4 linked regions of the Saccharomyces cerevisiae S288C genome follow. Changing the gene in region 4 together with the main gene of any one other region gives a genetic interaction. Each region holds a gene or a part of one and is shown on either strand. Other genes may lie near its edges.

Region 1 (6,201 bases), on a different chromosome or scaffold from region 4:
AAACTCTTCATTCGGTGATGAGTTCACGCTTCCCATTTGTGACACTGCCCTTTTGTGCGTCTAACAAAATTTTATCACTTTATTGCTATTTACTTGAAAAATTATATATGAATATATTTCATAAAACGATGCTGACATAATATGTAACATAAAAAAAGGAATAACCTAAAACAAATACAAAGAAGACCCCATATAAATGAATATAAATGTATATTTTGCTTGAGCAAATGAAGAATGTACTACTTCTCAAGAGTAGCTGCTAGAACTTTTTGCTGTTGTATCTTTTTCTGTTTAGCCACAGCGTACAGCAGGCCAGACAGAAATCCTAGAAAGATAGAAAAGAAGGACAAAAAGTTTTTTGGAGCGTCAAAGAACACCAATCCCGCCAACGCTATGGGCAATTTGTTCAAAGCACCAACCATAGAATACGTTGTAGAGGAAGTTACACGAACACACCAGCCGGAACAGTACGATATCCCCACGGACATGAGCCCACTGATGACCATTGCTGCCAGTGAGTCGGCGGACAAGTTCACAGACAAATTCTTTGTGGACCAATCTTCCATAATGAAGGAAAAGACTAGCAGCAAAGGCAATGCCAGAACGTTGTTATAAAACATAGTATCATAGTCTTTAAAGTTAGTCAGCCGAATTCTCTTCCGCATAATCAAAACGAACAATGCAGACGAAATACAATTGGTGAACATCCAGAGGTACCCCGGATTCAACACAAAGATGGTTGACTCAACAAGTTCCTGATCGAGATCCTCCAAAGATGATGCTTTGATTGCAATGGCCTGCTGATCGCCCCAGGTGGCCACTACAGATGAAAGGACCATCATAATAAATGACGTCAACTCCATAGAAGTGACTTTTCCGCCAAAGAAGAGGACCTCGCCATAAGCAATGAGAATGATCGTCAGATTCTTGAAAATTGTGTAGATGGGCACGGCAAGGTATTGTAAGCTCTTTGACGACGTATAAATCATCAATACGAGCAGCAAAGAAATTGGAAACCAGTTTTTTACATCTGTCCTGTTCAAAGATCAAAAATTAGCAACGCCTACAATTCGTAGGATACATAGCGTCACAGTGCACACCAGTGATTGTACAAACAACATCACAAAGTTCATGTTAAAGTTGTCCAGGTTAACCACGAATTTGTTCGTTACTGTCATCAAAATCGAGGACGCGCAGTAAGATAAGATTGAAGCCGGCCCAGAGTTGGCCACTGATTCCGTCCATTCATGCTTATGCTTGCTCATAATTACCACACCTTCTTGATCTCTTTACAGCTTTTCAACCTTCCATTCTTGTACTCTATCTCTACCTGGCCCTTTAAACATTCTTAATATGATATATTCACATTTTTTGCTCTATTACCCGGCGGACAGGTTCCCGAAAGAAAGTGACATGGCAATGCTGAGAGAGTGGAAAGAGTCATCTTGCAAGACAGAGAAAGATGTTCAAGAGTGGTAAGCTAATGTCAGCGCAGTAGCCCATCCCACAATAACAGAGTGTGTAAGAAAGAGAGACGAGAGAGAGCACAGGGCCCCCTTTTCCCCCACCAACAAACAAATGCAAGACGACCCCGAAAATTCGAAGCTGTACGACCTGCTGAATAGTCATCTGGACGTGCATGGTCGAAGTAATGAAGAGCCGAGACAAACTGGTGACAGTAGGAGCCAGAGTAGTGGCAACACCGGTGAAAACGAGGAGGATATAGCATTTGCCAGTGGATTAAACGGCGGCACATTCGACTCAATGCTGGAGGCACTGCCCGATGATTTATATTTTACGGACTTCGTGTCTCCTTTTACAGCAGCTGCCACGACCAGCGTGACTACTAAGACGGTCAAGGACACCACACCAGCTACCAATCATATGGATGATGATATTGCGATGTTTGATTCACTTGCCACAACTCAGCCCATCGACATAGCCGCATCCAACCAACAAAATGGTGAAATTGCACAACTTTGGGACTTTAACGTGGACCAATTCAACATGACGCCCAGCAACTCGAGCGGTTCAGCTACTATTAGTGCTCCTAACAGCTTTACTTCCGACATACCGCAATACAACCACGGTTCCCTCGGCAACAGCGTCTCCAAATCCTCACTGTTCCCGTATAATTCCAGCACGTCCAACAGCAACATCAACCAGCCATCTATCAATAACAACTCAAATACTAATGCGCAGTCCCACCATTCCTTCAACATCTACAAACTACAAAACAACAACTCATCTTCATCCGCTATGAACATTACCAATAATAATAATAGCAACAATAGTAATATCCAGCATCCTTTTCTGAAGAAGAGCGATTCGATAGGATTATCTTCATCCAACACAACAAATTCTGTAAGAAAAAACTCACTTATCAAGCCAATGTCGTCCACGTCCCTGGCCAATTTCAAAAGAGCTGCCTCAGTATCTTCCAGTATATCCAATATGGAACCATCAGGACAAAATAAAAAACCTCTGATACAATGTTTCAATTGTAAAACTTTCAAGACACCGCTTTGGAGGAGAAGCCCAGAGGGGAATACTCTTTGCAATGCCTGCGGTCTTTTCCAGAAATTACATGGTACCATGAGGCCATTATCCTTAAAATCGGACGTTATCAAAAAGAGGATTTCAAAGAAGAGAGCCAAACAAACGGACCCAAACATTGCACAAAATACTCCAAGTGCACCTGCAACTGCCTCAACTTCAGTAACCACTACAAATGCTAAACCCATACGATCGAGGAAAAAATCACTACAACAAAACTCTTTATCTAGAGTGATACCTGAAGAAATCATTAGAGACAACATCGGTAATACTAATAATATCCTTAATGTAAATAGGGGAGGCTATAACTTCAACTCAGTCCCCTCCCCGGTCCTCATGAACAGCCAATCGTATAATAGTAGTAACGCAAATTTTAATGGAGCAAGCAATGCAAATTTGAATTCTAATAACTTAATGCGTCACAATTCGAACACTGTTACTCCTAATTTTAGAAGGTCTTCAAGACGAAGTAGTACTTCATCGAACACCTCAAGTTCCAGTAAATCTTCATCCAGATCTGTTGTTCCGATATTACCAAAACCTTCACCTAATAGCGCTAATTCACAGCAGTTCAACATGAACATGAACCTAATGAACACAACAAATAATGTAAGTGCAGGAAATAGTGTCGCATCCTCACCAAGAATTATATCGTCCGCAAACTTTAACTCAAATAGTCCTCTACAGCAGAATCTATTATCAAATTCTTTCCAACGTCAAGGAATGAATATACCAAGAAGAAAGATGTCGCGCAATGCATCGTACTCCTCATCGTTTATGGCTGCGTCTTTGCAACAACTGCACGAACAGCAACAAGTGGACGTGAATTCCAACACAAACACGAATTCGAATAGACAGAATTGGAATTCAAGCAATAGCGTTTCAACAAATTCAAGATCATCAAATTTTGTCTCTCAAAAGCCAAATTTTGATATTTTTAATACTCCTGTAGATTCACCGAGTGTCTCAAGACCTTCTTCAAGAAAATCACATACCTCATTGTTATCACAACAATTGCAGAACTCGGAGTCGAATTCGTTTATCTCAAATCACAAATTTAACAATAGATTATCAAGTGACTCTACTTCACCTATAAAATATGAAGCAGATGTGAGTGCAGGCGGAAAGATCAGTGAGGATAATTCCACAAAAGGATCTTCTAAAGAAAGTTCAGCAATTGCTGACGAATTGGATTGGTTAAAATTTGGTATATGACCGCGTATTATCATTATCATTATTCTTATTATGTTAATAATTACTGAACGGTTGCATTGATAGATTTTCATTACCTCTGACCACAATCCTGAGCATTGGTATTATTTGTTTTGCTATTTTCAGATCAAATTACTTGTAAAAAAAGAAATGGTAGTATATTGGCATTGAACACTGGCTGTTCTATTTGTATTACTTTTATGTGTAGACATATATTATTAGGAATTTGTAATATCACTCTAATTATTATTTGGTATTCTTTCTCTATCTCCCCTGTTTCTTTTGTCTATCTCTTTCTTTTTTTTTTTTAAACGGCCCTTTTTTAATGGCATTTTCTTTTTCTTATAATGCCCACAGTTGAATAATTTAACTAGCTTTTGACTGACACATAAACAATAATGTATATGGTCCATCCAATGAAATGACAGTTCTATTGCATTTTACCTACTTGTATATTCTGGATACTGCACAAGAAAATGGGTGTCTCACAAATATGGGAATTTTTGAAGCCATATCTGCAAGATTCCAGAATTCCGTTGAGAAAGTTTGTCATAGACTTTAATAAATCGCAAAAAAGAGCTCCAAGAATCGCGATTGACGCATATGGATGGCTATTTGAGTGTGGATTTATCCAAAATATAGATATAAGCGCCAGATCTAGATCAAGATCAAGGAGTCCTACCCGTTCTCCGCGTGATAGTGATATCGACAGTAGTCAAGAATATTATGGTAGCAGAAGTTATACAACTACAGGAAAAGCTGTGATAAACTTCATATCTCGATTAAAAGAACTACTGAGTTTAAACGTCGAATTCTTGCTTGTATTTGACGGAGTTATGAAACCCTCTTTCAAAAGGAAATTTAACCACGAACAGAACGCTACTACTTGTGATGATGAGAAAGAGTACTATTCAAGCTGGGAACAGCATGTTAAGAATCATGAAGTTTATGGCAATTGTAAAGGATTGCTAGCGCCATCTGACCCTGAGTTCATCAGTCTTGTACGGAAATTATTAGACTTGATGAACATTTCATATGTAATCGCATGTGGGGAGGGAGAAGCCCAGTGTGTTTGGCTGCAAGTTTCTGGGGCTGTAGATTTCATTTTAAGTAACGATTCAGATACTCTCGTATTTGGGGGAGAAAAAATCCTGAAAAATTACTCGAAATTCTACGATGATTTTGGCCCAAGTTCAATAACTTCCCACAGTCCCAGTAGACATCATGATAGTAAAGAATCTTTTGTTACTGTTATAGATCTACCCAAAATTAATAAAGTAGCAGGGAAGAAGTTTGATCGCCTGTCTCTCTTATTTTTCAGCGTGCTATTAGGTGCCGATTACAATCGTGGAGTCAAGGGTTTGGGTAAAAACAAATCTTTGCAGTTGGCTCAATGCGAAGATCCTAACTTTTCCATGGAATTTTATGACATTTTCAAAGATTTCAATTTAGAAGATTTGACATCAGAAAGTCTGAGGAAGTCTCGGTATAGATTGTTTCAAAAAAGATTATATTTATACTGCAAGGATCATTCTGTCGAGCTATTTGGAAGAAATTATCCTGTTTTATTGAATCAAGGTTCATTTGAAGGCTGGCCATCAACTGTCGCAATCATGCACTATTTTCACCCCATTGTCCAACCATATTTTGATGAAGAAGTTCTCAGTGATAAATACATAAATATGGCTGGAAACGGACACTACAGAAACTTAAATTTCAATGAACTGAAATATTTTTTACAAAGTTTGAATTTGCCTCAAATTTCTAGCTTCGACAAGTGGTTTCATGATTCTATGCACGAGATGTTTCTATTAAGAGAATTTTTATCAATTGATGAGTCCGATAATATAGGTAAAGGTAATATGAGGATTACCGAAGAAAAAATTATGAACATAGATGGTGGAAAGTTCCAAATACCATGTTTTAAAATACGGTATACAACATTCTTGCCTAATATACCCATTTCTTCTCAATCTCCTTTGAAGCGCAGTAATTCTCCCAGTAGAAGCAAGAGTCCCACACGACGTCAGATGGATATAATGGAACACCCAAATAGTCTTTGGTTACCCAAATACTTGATACCTCAATCGCATCCATTAGTAATTCAATATTATGAGACACAGCAACTTATACAGAAAGAAAAAGAGAAGAAAGGTAAAAAATCGAATAAGTCTCGGCTACCACAGAAGAATAACTTGGATGAGTTTTTAAGAAAGCATACTTCGCCGATTAAAAGTATCGGAAAGGTAGGCGAGTCGAGAAAGGAAATCCTGGAACCTGTGAGAAAAAGGCTTTTTGTAGATACAGACGAAGATACTAGTCTGGAAGAAATACCGGCTCCCACAAGACTGACCACCGTCGATGAACACAGCGATAATGACGATGATTCGTTGATTTTTGTAGATGAGATTACAAACAGCCAAAGCGTTTTAG
Region 2 (4,891 bases), on a different chromosome or scaffold from region 4:
AAGAAGGAAGAAAAGGGAAGCGGAGAGAAGAGATTATGACACATACAAACTACTCATTACTCTTTGTTCTTTATTATTCGTTGGACCTTTGTTTCTTAAAGTATAGATAAAAGGTCAAAAAATGTAGTAGTCTTTTTTCACAGAGCGAGAATAAAAAGTTACGGCAAAATTTTGTGGGCAGTTGGTATCTTAACGGCCAAGAAAAGAGAGAGAGTGAAGAGCAACGATGTCTGCAAACGGCAAGATCTCTGTTCCCGAGGCGGTGGTCAATTGGCTGTTCAAAGTCATTCAACCCATTTATAACGACGGAAGAACAACTTTCCACGATTCTTTAGCGCTGCTGGACAATTTTCACAGTTTAAGGCCAAGAACAAGGGTATTTACGCACTCTGACGGCACTCCACAACTACTGTTGTCCATATATGGTACCATTAGTACTGGTGAGGATGGTTCATCTCCTCACAGTATTCCTGTGATCATGTGGGTACCCAGTATGTACCCGGTAAAACCTCCCTTTATAAGTATAAACTTGGAAAATTTCGACATGAACACCATCAGTAGTTCCTTGCCCATTCAAGAATACATCGACTCCAATGGGTGGATTGCGCTGCCCATACTCCACTGCTGGGATCCTGCCGCGATGAACCTTATAATGGTCGTACAAGAATTAATGAGTCTCTTACACGAGCCGCCACAAGATCAGGCGCCCAGTCTACCCCCTAAGCCCAATACGCAGCTCCAGCAGGAGCAGAATACTCCCCCACTGCCCCCAAAGCCCAAGTCTCCACACCTAAAACCGCCATTGCCTCCACCTCCACCACCTCAACCGGCATCTAACGCACTCGACCTTATGGACATGGACAACACGGATATCTCCCCAACCAACCATCATGAAATGCTACAAAATCTACAAACCGTAGTCAATGAGTTATACAGAGAGGATGTGGACTATGTAGCGGACAAGATACTGACGAGACAGACCGTCATGCAAGAATCAATTGCCAGATTCCATGAAATAATCGCCATCGACAAGAACCATTTACGAGCCGTTGAGCAGGCTATTGAGCAGACCATGCACTCGCTAAACGCACAGATAGACGTCCTGACCGCAAATAGGGCCAAAGTCCAACAGTTTAGCTCAACTTCGCATGTGGATGACGAGGACGTGAACTCCATAGCAGTGGCCAAAACAGATGGACTCAATCAACTATACAACCTCGTTGCCCAGGACTACGCTCTCACGGACACCATTGAGTGCTTATCTAGGATGCTGCACCGTGGCACCATTCCCCTCGATACTTTTGTCAAGCAAGGTCGTGAATTAGCACGCCAGCAATTCCTTGTGCGATGGCACATCCAACGAATCACCTCACCGTTATCGTGACTCACTTTCTTTCGCATCGCCGAAGTGCCATAAAAAATATTTTTTTAACCTTTACCTAACAAGAACGGGGAATGGTATATATGGAAGTACATAGTTCGTATATACAGAATCTTTAGAACATCTGAGCTCACTAACCCAGTCTTTCTAATGCTGAGATCGTTATTGCAAAGCGGCCACCGCAGGGTGGTTGCTTCTTCATGTGCTACCATGGTGCGTTGCAGTTCCTCGTCGACCTCCGCGTTGGCGTACAAGCAGATGCACAGACACGCAACAAGACCTCCCTTGCCCACACTAGACACTCCTTCCTGGAATGCCAACAGTGCCGTTTCATCCATCATTTACGAAACACCAGCGCCTTCTCGTCAACCAAGAAAACAGCATGTCTTGAACTGTTTGGTGCAAAACGAACCCGGTGTCTTGTCCAGAGTCTCGGGTACGTTAGCTGCCAGAGGCTTTAACATCGATTCGTTGGTCGTGTGCAACACCGAGGTCAAAGACCTAAGTAGAATGACCATTGTTTTGCAAGGGCAAGATGGCGTAGTCGAACAAGCACGCAGACAAATCGAAGACTTGGTCCCCGTCTACGCCGTCCTAGACTATACCAATTCTGAGATCATCAAAAGAGAGCTAGTGATGGCCAGAATCTCTCTATTGGGTACTGAATACTTCGAAGACCTACTATTGCACCACCACACTTCCACCAATGCTGGCGCCGCTGACTCCCAAGAATTGGTCGCCGAAATCAGAGAAAAGCAATTCCACCCTGCCAACTTGCCCGCCAGTGAGGTATTAAGGTTGAAGCACGAGCATTTGAACGATATCACCAACTTGACCAACAACTTTGGAGGTCGTGTCGTCGACATCAGCGAAACAAGCTGTATTGTGGAGTTGTCTGCAAAACCCACACGTATCTCTGCCTTCTTGAAGTTGGTCGAGCCATTCGGTGTCCTAGAGTGTGCAAGAAGCGGTATGATGGCATTGCCAAGAACTCCTTTGAAGACAAGCACCGAGGAAGCTGCCGACGAAGACGAAAAGATCAGCGAAATCGTCGACATTTCCCAACTACCACCTGGTTAGGTTAGTCTCTCGGCCTTGCGATCGCCCTCGGGACTCTCCTCTATACATCTATATAACGTATCTATAACCATGAGCCTATTTACTCATAAGTTGCTATGATTGTACGTTTGTACGAGGTGACGCGTTACTAAACTATTTTTTTCTTTTGGTTTTCTGCTTTCCTCTTCGATTTTGCCAGATACGAAAAAGGTTAAAGACACAATACCTTGGTGGCTTCTCTAAGTGGGGGGAGTTTTTCACAGCAAAACACACGGTCACCTTTCTTATTATGGACGGATATTGGGATGTTGTAGTGTCGTCCTTGCAAGACATATACAATGCCAACGAGGTCATTCCCTTTGATGATGAGCTGCAAACAAAAAAACTAAATTTCCTTAATATGTCAAAGGATCAGCTGCAATTGCATCTCAACACTTTCCAAGAACACATGGAAAACGTCAACAGAGTGCACCGAATCCTTGACAATGTACGTTCCAATTTGTCGTTGATGTTGAATCAGTCACGAGAGGAAAAGAGTGAGGAAAATACTGAAGATGCAGAAGAAGGAGAAGGGACACGCATGGCATTGTCGCAGGGCAAGAAAGCTGTGGGGAAAGTTGGCAGATCGTACTGGACCAGCGAATACAACCCAAATGCACCTATTTTGGTGGGCTCAGAGGTTGCCTATAAGCCCAGAAGGGGCAGTGCCGACGGCGAATGGATACAGTGTGAAGTACTCAAAGTCGTAGCAGATGGTACACGATTTGAAGTGAGAGATCCTGAACCTGATGAATTGGGCAACTCAGGCAAGGTGTATAAATGTAATCGGAAAGAACTACTGTTGATCCCGCCAGGCTTTCCCACTAAGAACTACCCGCCAGGTACTAAGGTTCTGGCAAGATATCCTGAAACGACCACTTTTTATCCTGCAATTGTCATCGGAACCAAGAGGGACGGCACTTGCAGGCTTCGATTTGATGGTGAAGAGGAAGTGGACAAAGAGACGGAAGTGACTCGCCGTCTAGTGCTGCCTTCGCCAACGGCTTTGGCAAACCTAGCAAGGAAATAGCAATGGTGGTTAACATTTACTACATATCATAAGATCTTCTCATGGCATTTTGTCATTATTTTGGTATCGTCGGAAGTGATGTATTCACTTGAAGGTGAAAAAAATTGAAAAAAAATGAAAGCTTGGATGAAATCAATTATATTGAGGATTTCCCATTAGAAATAAGCTATGGGCGAAAAGGAAACAAACATCAGCTGGATTTTTTCGCCAAGATGGAGAGAGAGCTAGGGATGTATGGAAATGATAGGAGTAGATCAAGATCACCTGTACGTCGTCGTTTGAGCGACGACAGAGACAGGTACGATGATTATAACGATAGTAGCAGTAATAATGGTAATGGCAGTCGTCGTCAGAGACGCGACCGAGGCTCCCGTTTCAATGATCGGTACGATCAGAGTTATGGTGGCAGCCGCTACCACGATGATAGGAACTGGCCCCCTCGCCGAGGAGGCCGTGGCAGAGGAGGAAGCAGATCATTCAGAGGGGGACGCGGTGGCGGTAGGGGTCGTACTTTAGGTCCAATTGTTGAAAGAGACTTAGAAAGGCAATTTGACGCGACCAAGAGAAATTTTGAAAATAGTATCTTCGTGAGAAACTTGACTTTTGATTGTACCCCTGAAGACCTTAAGGAATTGTTTGGTACAGTGGGCGAAGTTGTGGAGGCTGACATTATCACATCAAAGGGCCATCACCGTGGTATGGGGACTGTGGAATTTACCAAAAACGAATCTGTCCAAGATGCCATATCGAAGTTTGATGGTGCCCTCTTTATGGACCGGAAACTAATGGTAAGACAGGATAATCCTCCTCCTGAAGCTGCCAAGGAATTTTCTAAGAAAGCTACTAGGGAAGAAATAGATAATGGGTTTGAAGTGTTCATCATCAATTTACCGTACTCTATGAATTGGCAATCCTTAAAAGATATGTTTAAAGAATGTGGTCATGTCTTGCGTGCCGATGTAGAATTGGATTTCAACGGATTTTCAAGAGGATTCGGTTCTGTCATTTATCCTACTGAGGATGAAATGATTAGAGCTATCGATACATTCAACGGCATGGAAGTAGAAGGTAGAGTTTTGGAAGTTAGAGAAGGGCGTTTCAACAAGAGAAAGAACAATGATCGTTATAATCAAAGGCGTGAGGACCTTGAAGATACCAGAGGTACTGAACCAGGTCTTGCGCAGGATGCCGCTGTCCACATTGATGAAACTGCAGCAAAATTTACTGAAGGTGTCAATCCAGGAGGGGATAGAAACTGTTTCATTTATTGTAGTAATTTACCATTCTCAACAGCAAGAAGCGATTTATTCGACTTGTTTGGGCCTATCGGCAAAATCAATAACGCGGAATTGAAACCACAGGAAAATGGTCAACCAACTGGT
Region 3 (5,189 bases), on a different chromosome or scaffold from region 4:
TAATCAAAGTCTATAGTCAAACATACGGTCCTCTAGCCATCTTTGCGTATTGATTCTTTGGTTTGTTTTGGGCAGAAAAATCGCTATATAAGAAAGTATTTCAACACTAGATTAAATTATAGTATAATTTTTAATATACTAGTATTGCCGACAATCTCTGAAATTTCAATACTACCACACAGAACAGGACTTGCCAGGGCCAGTCCGAGCCAGCCTAACTCCAAGACCACGTACTAAGTGAATTGCTACTCCCCCTTACCACGACTACAAAGAGCTACACGGCCTCCCGGCCTAGGCCGCTGCTACTTTCAACTGATGTCACCGAAAAAAATAACGGAAAACGACAGTTCAAGAAAAAAAGAACGCAGGAAGAAAAAGGAAGCAAAATTACAGAATGTACGGCTGTTTAAAAATAAATAGTGGATGCATGGGTGCTTCCACGCGTCTCTGGGAAAAAAAACCAGGATATTTTAATGTTTGTTTATTTGTTTATTTCCTGCTGAACTGAATATTGAAAACATCGAAAAAATGCAGTACCCAGCTCTCCATTAGGACTTTTTACGTAATGACGAAAATGGACAAGCTGCGCAGGAAAGGACTACGAAAAGTATGCTGCCATAATGACAAGATAAGGCGCAACACACGTAATCATGACTAATGGTTGCACAGACGGTAGGCCAGGAGAAGGATTAGATCTCGTGCCGAACGACAGCAAGCTAGCTAGACTATGTTATCTGAGTGTAAACGAAAGCGCAGCAGTCTCTGCAAGAGCACGTGCGACGTGTCTGGTGTGCAAAAACCCTCTAGAGAAACATTGCTAAGGTTTACCGATGCAGGAAATCTTTAGTTCTAAAAGATGAAAGTCGGAAAAGCCAAAAAGAAACCGGAAATCTTCTCTGCGCATTGTTCTGTGGCCACGGCCTTCCTGGACCCGTCCTTCTTTTACCCGAACTTTGTCGCCCAAAAGGCATCTCATTATAATGACAAAACTGGATCTGCAAATATTTGGACATATATCTCCAGAACGGGCTCACTTCTCCTCTTCACCCAGGTGGTATATAGGAAGAGTAAGTGGACGCATCAGTCCGCGACATTTGCGGACTGTATATATTGCCAGTCAGGGCAGTCGCCAAGTGTGTCTCTTTCGTGTAGCGACGCACGTCAGACATGGATGCAACATCGAGGATGGAGCAGCCTGATGTCTTTGTAAGCAAACTCTACCACCTGCTGCAGGGGAACGCTTACTCGAACATAATACAATGGTCGACTGATGGCAGCAAGCTCGTCATTTGGAATCCGGACCAGTTCACCAAAGTCATCCTAGAGCGATTTTTTGGTATTCACACCTTTGCAGCATTCGTTAAGCAATTGAGCAAATATAACTTCCAGAAGGCGGGCCGCCCGGACTGCGTGGAGTTTTCCAACATTCATTTTCAAAAAGATAACATTAATAGCCTCTCACTGGTTAAAGCTCATCAGTCTGCCGCCACTCCCAATGTCGCCGCCGTCAATAATATGAATAAGCAGTGTACTTTTCACTGGGACCCTTTCAAAGTGAACTCCATTCTAAGCAAGGCCATCGGCAAGCCTTCCTTCGAGAAATTAGTGAAAAATGTTGACAGGCTTCAGGGCAATCTTGATGAGCTTAAGTCGACAAACGCAGATAGTCTGCGTATTATAAGGGAAATTAACGCCAGCTTACAGACAATCTCCTACCACCAGTTTCACGCCTACCAAACCGCTAACTTCCTTCAAGAAAATTTTGAAGCCATCAAAAAGGTTGTATGCCCGGACTCTTGTCTACAACACCAGCAACGCCAACCAAAGCGCCCCAAACGCTACTCGTTGCTGTTACTAATACCAAACGCATCCGAATTGTCAGAAACACCTTTGATGCGCTTCGCCGGCGTGTTCGAATTTATGAACTGCTCTTTGGATACGGCCACTCAGTGGCACCCGCAGTTGCATCCCGAGGCATACGACCTTCTTTTCGTCACCGTGTCGCCCAACATGCAACAAGAACATCTCATCTACTTCAAGAGACTGAGAAACCTACTCCCAAGCTTTCCTGTAATAGCCATTATTAACAGACCCGTCTCCCCTCAAGATACCAGCATTGCTCCCTCCAACTACTCTCGCTATTATTTCCACCATTTTTTGCAGTTGGGGTTCAGTGACATCCTAGTTAGCCCCTTCACCCCAACACAACTTATAACGCTCCTTTCCAAACATCTTCGAACGTGAAAACCTGCCTCTGAGGGTCATTCACGACCTAGCATACCACTATATACGTGTACGATTTTTTTTTTCTGTGACCGCACTACACCAAAGTTTAATGTTCCATTGGCCCCGGAACCATTCTTGCAAACGGCGTTCTTTTTCCGCTTTCGGGTGACACTTAATTTAGCTTCTTTTCCCTCTCTGACACCTCTTGTTATCTAATCTGTAGATCCGACTCTTTTTCTTTTTGGTGTCGTTCTTCTATGTCCGTTTTTCTGTCAACAAAAACGGAAATAATAGGTAGAAATTAAGAGCCGTACGTGAGTGAGAGGAGATCCGAAATGAGCTGACAGTATAACTAATATAAGCTTACAAGATATTCGACTATTTCCTGGGAAAAAATTCATTCCTTTGAGAAATCCTTAATAAAAACAGACTAACTACTAAAATTTTAGAAATTTAAGGGAAAGCATCTCCACGAGTTTTAAGAACGATATGACCTTGGCACCCCTAGACGCCTCCAAAGTTAAGATAACTACCACACAACATGCATCTAAGCCAAAACCGAACAGTGAGTTAGTGTTTGGCAAGAGCTTCACGGACCACATGTTAACTGCGGAATGGACAGCTGAAAAAGGGTGGGGTACCCCAGAGATTAAACCTTATCAAAATCTGTCTTTAGACCCTTCCGCGGTGGTTTTCCATTATGCTTTTGAGCTATTCGAAGGGATGAAGGCTTACAGAACGGTGGACAACAAAATTACAATGTTTCGTCCAGATATGAATATGAAGCGCATGAATAAGTCTGCTCAGAGAATCTGTTTGCCAACGTTCGACCCAGAAGAGTTGATTACCCTAATTGGGAAACTGATCCAGCAAGATAAGTGCTTAGTTCCTGAAGGAAAAGGTTACTCTTTATATATCAGGCCTACATTAATCGGCACTACGGCCGGTTTAGGGGTTTCCACGCCTGATAGAGCCTTGCTATATGTCATTTGCTGCCCTGTGGGTCCTTATTACAAAACTGGATTTAAGGCGGTCAGACTGGAAGCCACTGATTATGCCACAAGAGCTTGGCCAGGAGGCTGTGGTGACAAGAAACTAGGTGCAAACTACGCCCCCTGCGTCCTGCCACAATTGCAAGCTGCTTCAAGGGGTTACCAACAAAATTTATGGCTATTTGGTCCAAATAACAACATTACTGAAGTCGGCACCATGAATGCTTTTTTCGTGTTTAAAGATAGTAAAACGGGCAAGAAGGAACTAGTTACTGCTCCACTAGACGGTACCATTTTGGAAGGTGTTACTAGGGATTCCATTTTAAATCTTGCTAAAGAAAGACTCGAACCAAGTGAATGGACCATTAGTGAACGCTACTTCACTATAGGCGAAGTTACTGAGAGATCCAAGAACGGTGAACTACTTGAAGCCTTTGGTTCTGGTACTGCTGCGATTGTTTCTCCCATTAAGGAAATCGGCTGGAAAGGCGAACAAATTAATATTCCGTTGTTGCCCGGCGAACAAACCGGTCCATTGGCCAAAGAAGTTGCACAATGGATTAATGGAATCCAATATGGCGAGACTGAGCATGGCAATTGGTCAAGGGTTGTTACTGATTTGAACTGAAGTATCGCTATTGCTACGTAAAGTAATTAAAAGTTAAAAAGAATAAAACTAGAGCGTTTTTTCTACTGAGTTAAGGGGTCATGTCAGAATATAACATACCCTTTGACATTGTATATATGAATTCCTGGATTTTGCAGTGATCTGATAAAAAATGTATGTCGAAACCTGCAATTATCCTTTCGTTTTTTTTCTTGTCATCTAGTGCTGGCCTATCGGTATCAAGGACATCTTTTGCGCGGATAGAAAAGGGCCCATACATACCTTAGAAGCAACTCAAGACAATTCATGTACTTTTTAAACCAACTAATATTTCAAGACGTTTCCGTAATGTCGGTGGATAAAAGAGAAGATATGAGCAGATCTTTCCAAAAATGTTTAAACTTGAGATACCCTATCATCCAGGCCCCTATGGCGGGGGTCACGACTATTGAAATGGCCGCTAAGGCTTGTATTGCGGGCGCCATAGCTTCACTACCCCTATCCCACTTAGACTTCAGAAAGGTCAATGATATTGAAAAGCTTAAACTGATGGTTTCACAATTCAGAGATCAAGTAGCCGATGAATCTTTAGAGGGCAATCTCAACCTAAACTTTTTTTGCCATGATATCGTTGATAAACCGACCGATCTTCAAACAGCTAACTGGGCGAAGCTATACAGAAAGTCTATGAATGTGCCGATTGATATGAATGAGATTAAATTCGATAATGGTAATGTATCTTTTAAGGCATTTGAAAAAGAAAATGCTCTTCAAGATTTTTTCCAGTACCTATCAGATGGCTTTAGGCCTAAAATCATTAGTTTCCATTTTGGCCATCCGTCGAAATCTACAATAGAATATTTACAAAAAATTGGAATTCTAATTTTTGTGACTGCCACCTCTGTAAGAGAAGTTCGATTGTTAGCACGTCTCGGCATTAATGGCATAGTGTGTCAAGGCTATGAAGCGGGAGGACATAGAGGAAATTTCTTAGTAAATGACCCCAAAGATGATGAAAACTTATCAACTGTACAATTGGTGAAAAGAACAGTTGATGAACTTGCTGAAATGAAAAATAAAGGTCTTATACATGCTACTCCCTTTGTCATTGCAGCAGGTGGTATAATGGATTCCAAAGATATATCATACATGTTATCACAGCAAGCAGACGCTGTTCAAGTGGGGACTGCTTTTCTTGGTTGCAGTGAATCCAATGCATCAAAAAACTTTTCAAGCCCCTTCACTCGAGAAACAACAACTAAAATGGTTAATATAATATCAGGAAAGCCTGCAAGGACCATCTCTACTCCTTTTATCGAAAAAGTCATTGCTAATTTTCAAGGTGAGGAGCTTCCTCCATATGG
Region 4 (4,319 bases):
ATCAAAGTTTCAATCCTTTGTATTTTCTAGTTTAGCGCCAACTTTTGACAAAACCTAAACTTTAGATAATCATCATTCTTACAATTTTTATCTGGATGGCAATAATCTCCTATATAAAGCCCAGATAAACTGTAAAAAGAATCCATCACTATTTGAAAAAAAGTCATCTGGCACGTTTAATTATCAGAGCAGAAATGATGAAGGGTGTTAGCGCCGTCCACTGATGTGCCTGGTAGTCATGATTTACGTATAACTAACACATCATGAGGACGGCGGCGTCACCCCAACGCAAAAGAGTGACTTCCCTGCGCTTTGCCAAAACCCCATACATCGCCATCTGGCTCCTGGCAGGGCGGTTGATGGACATCAGCCGCCTCCCTTAATTGCTAAAGCCTCCACAAGGCACAATTAAGCAATATTTCGGGAAAGTACACCAGTCAGTTTGCGCTTTTATGACTGGGTTCTAAGGTACTAGATGTGAAGTAGTGGTGACAGAATCAGGGAGATAAGAGGGAGCAGGGTGGGGTAATGATGTGCGATAACAATCTTGCTTGGCTAATCACCCCCATATCTTGTAGTGAGTATATAAATAGGAGCCTCCCTTCCTATTGCAACTCCATAAAATTTTTTTTTGTAGCCACTTCTGTAACAAGATAAATAAAACCAACTAATCGAGATATCAAATATGGGTAGTTTTTGGGACGCATTCGCAGTATACGACAAGAAAAAGCACGCAGATCCAAGTGTATATGGAGGAAACCATAACAACACAGGAGACAGTAAAACGCAGGTTATGTTTTCGAAAGAGTACCGTCAACCTAGGACACATCAGCAAGAGAACTTGCAGAGCATGAGAAGATCTTCCATAGGATCACAGGACAGTTCCGATGTTGAGGACGTTAAGGAAGGGAGATTACCCGCAGAAGTAGAAATACCAAAGAATGTTGACATCTCTAACATGTCGCAAGGTGAGTTTTTAAGACTTTACGAAAGTTTGAGGAGGGGGGAACCCGACAATAAAGTAAATAGATAAATGGAGGAGATATTCATAGTGTCTTTTCTTGTGTTGTCTATTTATTCTAACATGATTATATATTTATTATGCTTTTCAGTGTTTCCATTAGTTTTATATGATAGCATCCTTATGTCTTTTTTCATACCTATATAAGCAATAAGAAGTTATGTAAACAGAACTTTGCCACTAATACCATAATTACTGTCTTTTAGTATCATTGTCTGTCAGTCGGCACGGATGAAAGGTGACAAACGCCTAGCCGCCGGAGCCTGCCGGTACCGGCTTGGCTTCAGTTGCTGATCTCGGCGCGGAAAAATCAGCGCCCCACGCCAAAAGGTTCGTATTTTTTCTTTTTTTTTCTAATCTTCCATCTATTCGGTAGCGATGATTCATTTCTCTGAAAAAAAAAAAAAAAAAAAAAAATGAAAAAGAATATTTTTTTGATGAACTTGTATTTCTCTTATCTGGTTGATATATATGCTATCATTTATTTTCTTATCAAGTTTCCAAATTTCTAATCCTTTCTCCACCATCCCTAATTAATAATTCAGATCTACGTCACACCGTAATTTGTATTGTTTTTTTCCTTCATTGTCTAAAACCGAAGAATTCATCAGCCACAGTTACTAGTTCATTTGAAGCGAAATTACACACATTTTCCCTGTTACAATAGAAAGTATTTTACAAAATCTAAACCCTTTGAGCTAAGAGGAGATAAATACAACAGAATCAATTTTCAAATGATCAGACAATCTACGCTAAAAAACTTCGCTATTAAGCGTTGCTTTCAACATATAGCATACCGCAACACACCTGCCATGAGATCAGTAGCTCTCGCGCAGCGCTTTTATAGTTCGTCTTCCCGTTATTACAGTGCGTCTCCATTACCAGCCTCTAAAAGGCCAGAGCCTGCTCCAAGTTTCAATGTTGATCCATTAGAACAGCCCGCTGAACCTTCAAAATTGGCTAAGAAACTACGCGCTGAGCCTGACATGGATACCTCTTTCGTCGGTTTAACTGGTGGTCAAATATTTAACGAAATGATGTCCAGACAAAACGTTGATACTGTATTTGGTTATCCAGGTGGTGCTATCCTACCTGTTTACGATGCCATTCATAACAGTGATAAATTCAACTTCGTTCTTCCAAAACACGAACAAGGTGCCGGTCACATGGCAGAAGGCTACGCCAGAGCTTCTGGTAAACCAGGTGTTGTCTTGGTTACTTCTGGGCCAGGTGCCACCAATGTCGTTACTCCAATGGCAGATGCCTTTGCAGACGGGATTCCAATGGTTGTCTTTACAGGGCAAGTCCCAACTAGTGCTATCGGTACTGATGCTTTCCAAGAGGCTGACGTCGTTGGTATTTCTAGATCTTGTACGAAATGGAATGTCATGGTCAAGTCCGTGGAAGAATTGCCATTGCGTATTAACGAGGCTTTTGAAATTGCCACGAGCGGTAGACCGGGACCAGTCTTGGTCGATTTACCAAAGGATGTTACAGCAGCTATCTTAAGAAATCCAATTCCAACAAAAACAACTCTTCCATCAAACGCACTAAACCAATTAACCAGTCGCGCACAAGATGAATTTGTCATGCAAAGTATCAATAAAGCAGCAGATTTGATCAACTTGGCAAAGAAACCTGTCTTATACGTCGGTGCTGGTATTTTAAACCATGCAGATGGTCCAAGATTACTAAAAGAATTAAGTGACCGTGCTCAAATACCTGTCACCACTACTTTACAAGGTTTAGGTTCATTCGACCAAGAAGATCCAAAATCATTGGATATGCTTGGTATGCACGGTTGTGCTACTGCCAACCTGGCAGTGCAAAATGCCGACTTGATAATTGCAGTTGGTGCTAGATTCGACGACCGTGTCACTGGTAATATTTCTAAATTCGCTCCAGAAGCTCGTCGTGCAGCTGCCGAGGGTAGAGGTGGTATTATTCATTTCGAGGTTAGTCCAAAAAACATAAACAAGGTTGTTCAAACTCAAATAGCAGTGGAAGGTGATGCTACGACCAATCTGGGCAAAATGATGTCAAAGATTTTCCCAGTTAAGGAGAGGTCTGAATGGTTTGCTCAAATAAATAAATGGAAGAAGGAATACCCATACGCTTATATGGAGGAGACTCCAGGATCTAAAATTAAACCACAGACGGTTATAAAGAAACTATCCAAGGTTGCCAACGACACAGGAAGACATGTCATTGTTACAACGGGTGTGGGGCAACATCAAATGTGGGCTGCTCAACACTGGACATGGAGAAATCCACATACTTTCATCACATCAGGTGGTTTAGGTACGATGGGTTACGGTCTCCCTGCCGCCATCGGTGCTCAAGTTGCAAAGCCAGAATCTTTGGTTATTGACATTGATGGTGACGCATCCTTTAACATGACTCTAACGGAATTGAGTTCTGCCGTTCAAGCTGGTACTCCAGTGAAGATTTTGATTTTGAACAATGAAGAGCAAGGTATGGTTACTCAATGGCAATCCCTGTTCTACGAACATCGTTATTCCCACACACATCAATTGAACCCTGATTTCATAAAACTAGCGGAGGCTATGGGTTTAAAAGGTTTAAGAGTCAAGAAGCAAGAGGAATTGGACGCTAAGTTGAAAGAATTCGTTTCTACCAAGGGCCCAGTTTTGCTTGAAGTGGAAGTTGATAAAAAAGTTCCTGTTTTGCCAATGGTGGCAGGTGGTAGCGGTCTAGACGAGTTCATAAATTTTGACCCAGAAGTTGAAAGACAACAGACTGAATTACGTCATAAGCGTACAGGCGGTAAGCACTGAATTTCAAAAACATTTATTTCAAAAGCATTTTCAGTAAAAAATGCAGACTTTATTATTATTTAATCGTGCTTCTTATATATGACATTCTACCAAATCGGTAGTCATGTATATTTTTTTCGTATATACTTTATATATTTTTTTCTAAAAAACTAATGACGGCTAAAATTAAGTCATAGATGAATAATAAGTTCAATTCAAGTGAGTTGGTAGTATTTGATAAATCTAAAGTGGATACGTAGCATATGTATTCAAATGGTGTGTTTTAACTCGTCGGACACGACTTCTTTCTCGTTTTGTCAATCATCAAAAATATTTCTCGAAAAGGGGCCGTCAAAAATTGCAAGCTTGGAAAATACAAACTGGACTATGTATTTAAAGGTTATAGTTTATAATAAAGCATAAGAACAGTGGCCAATACGAATTTAACCGCTTTATAGAAATGGCTATCTTAAAAAGAGGAGCTAGAAAAAAGGTACATCAGGAGCCAGCTAAACGCTCTG

The links.
Region 1: of ILV2 (region 4) and GLN3, changing one enhances a phenotype caused by changing the other (phenotypic enhancement), as found in Saccharomyces cerevisiae (one study listed by BioGRID).
Region 2: of ILV2 (region 4) and ILV6, changing one suppresses a phenotype caused by changing the other (phenotypic suppression), as found in Saccharomyces cerevisiae (one study listed by BioGRID).
Region 3: of ILV2 (region 4) and BAT2, changing one enhances a phenotype caused by changing the other (phenotypic enhancement), as found in Saccharomyces cerevisiae (3 studies listed by BioGRID, with this or other methods).

The regions. Positions count from the first base shown.
Region 1 is NC_001137.3:228,217-234,417, forward strand, and holds GLN3 (nitrogen-responsive transcriptional regulator GLN3), read left to right. Parts: upstream 1-1,578; coding exon 1,579-3,771; downstream 3,772-6,201. Other genes in the region: Smc5-Smc6 complex subunit KRE29, read right to left, coding at 1-36; FMP49 (Fmp49p), read left to right, coding at 235-615; HVG1 (putative GDP-mannose transporter), read right to left, coding at 240-989; YER039C-A (uncharacterized protein), read right to left, coding at 1,047-1,265; YEN1 (crossover junction endodeoxyribonuclease), read left to right, coding at 4,245-6,201. UniProt on the Saccharomyces cerevisiae protein: Positive nitrogen regulatory protein. Required for the activation of transcription of a number of genes (including the allantoin pathway genes) in response to the replacement of glutamine by glutamate as source of nitrogen.
Region 2 is NC_001135.5:102,189-107,079, reverse strand, and holds ILV6 (acetolactate synthase regulatory subunit), read left to right. Parts: upstream 1-1,531; coding exon 1,532-2,461; downstream 2,462-4,891. Other genes in the region: VMA9 (H(+)-transporting V0 sector ATPase subunit e), read right to left, coding at 47-57; ubiquitin-binding ESCRT-I subunit protein STP22, read left to right, coding at 227-1,384; SGF29 (Sgf29p), read left to right, coding at 2,730-3,509; GBP2 (single-stranded telomeric DNA-binding/mRNA-binding protein), read left to right, coding at 3,722-4,891. UniProt on the Saccharomyces cerevisiae protein: Regulatory subunit of mitochondrial acetolactate synthase, which catalyzes the first of a series of common steps in the biosynthesis of the branched-chain amino acids.
Region 3 is NC_001142.9:703,029-708,217, forward strand, and holds BAT2 (branched-chain-amino-acid transaminase BAT2), read left to right. Parts: upstream 1-2,715; coding exon 2,716-3,846; downstream 3,847-5,189. Other genes in the region: 40S ribosomal protein eS4 RPS4A, read right to left, coding at 27-40; YJR146W (uncharacterized protein), read left to right, coding at 857-1,210; HMS2 (Hms2p), read left to right, coding at 1,168-2,244; YJR149W (putative nitronate monooxygenase), read left to right, coding at 4,132-5,189. UniProt on the Saccharomyces cerevisiae protein: Cytoplasmic isozyme of branched-chain-amino-acid aminotransferase, which catalyzes the first reaction in the catabolism of the essential branched chain amino acids (BCAAs) leucine, isoleucine, and valine.
Region 4 is NC_001145.3:482,329-486,647, forward strand, and holds ILV2 (acetolactate synthase catalytic subunit), read left to right. Parts: upstream 1-1,755; coding exon 1,756-3,819; downstream 3,820-4,319. Other genes in the region: SPG4 (Spg4p), read left to right, coding at 686-1,033; MYO5 (myosin 5), read left to right, coding at 4,259-4,319. UniProt on the Saccharomyces cerevisiae protein: Catalytic subunit of mitochondrial acetolactate synthase, which catalyzes the first of a series of common steps in the biosynthesis of the branched-chain amino acids.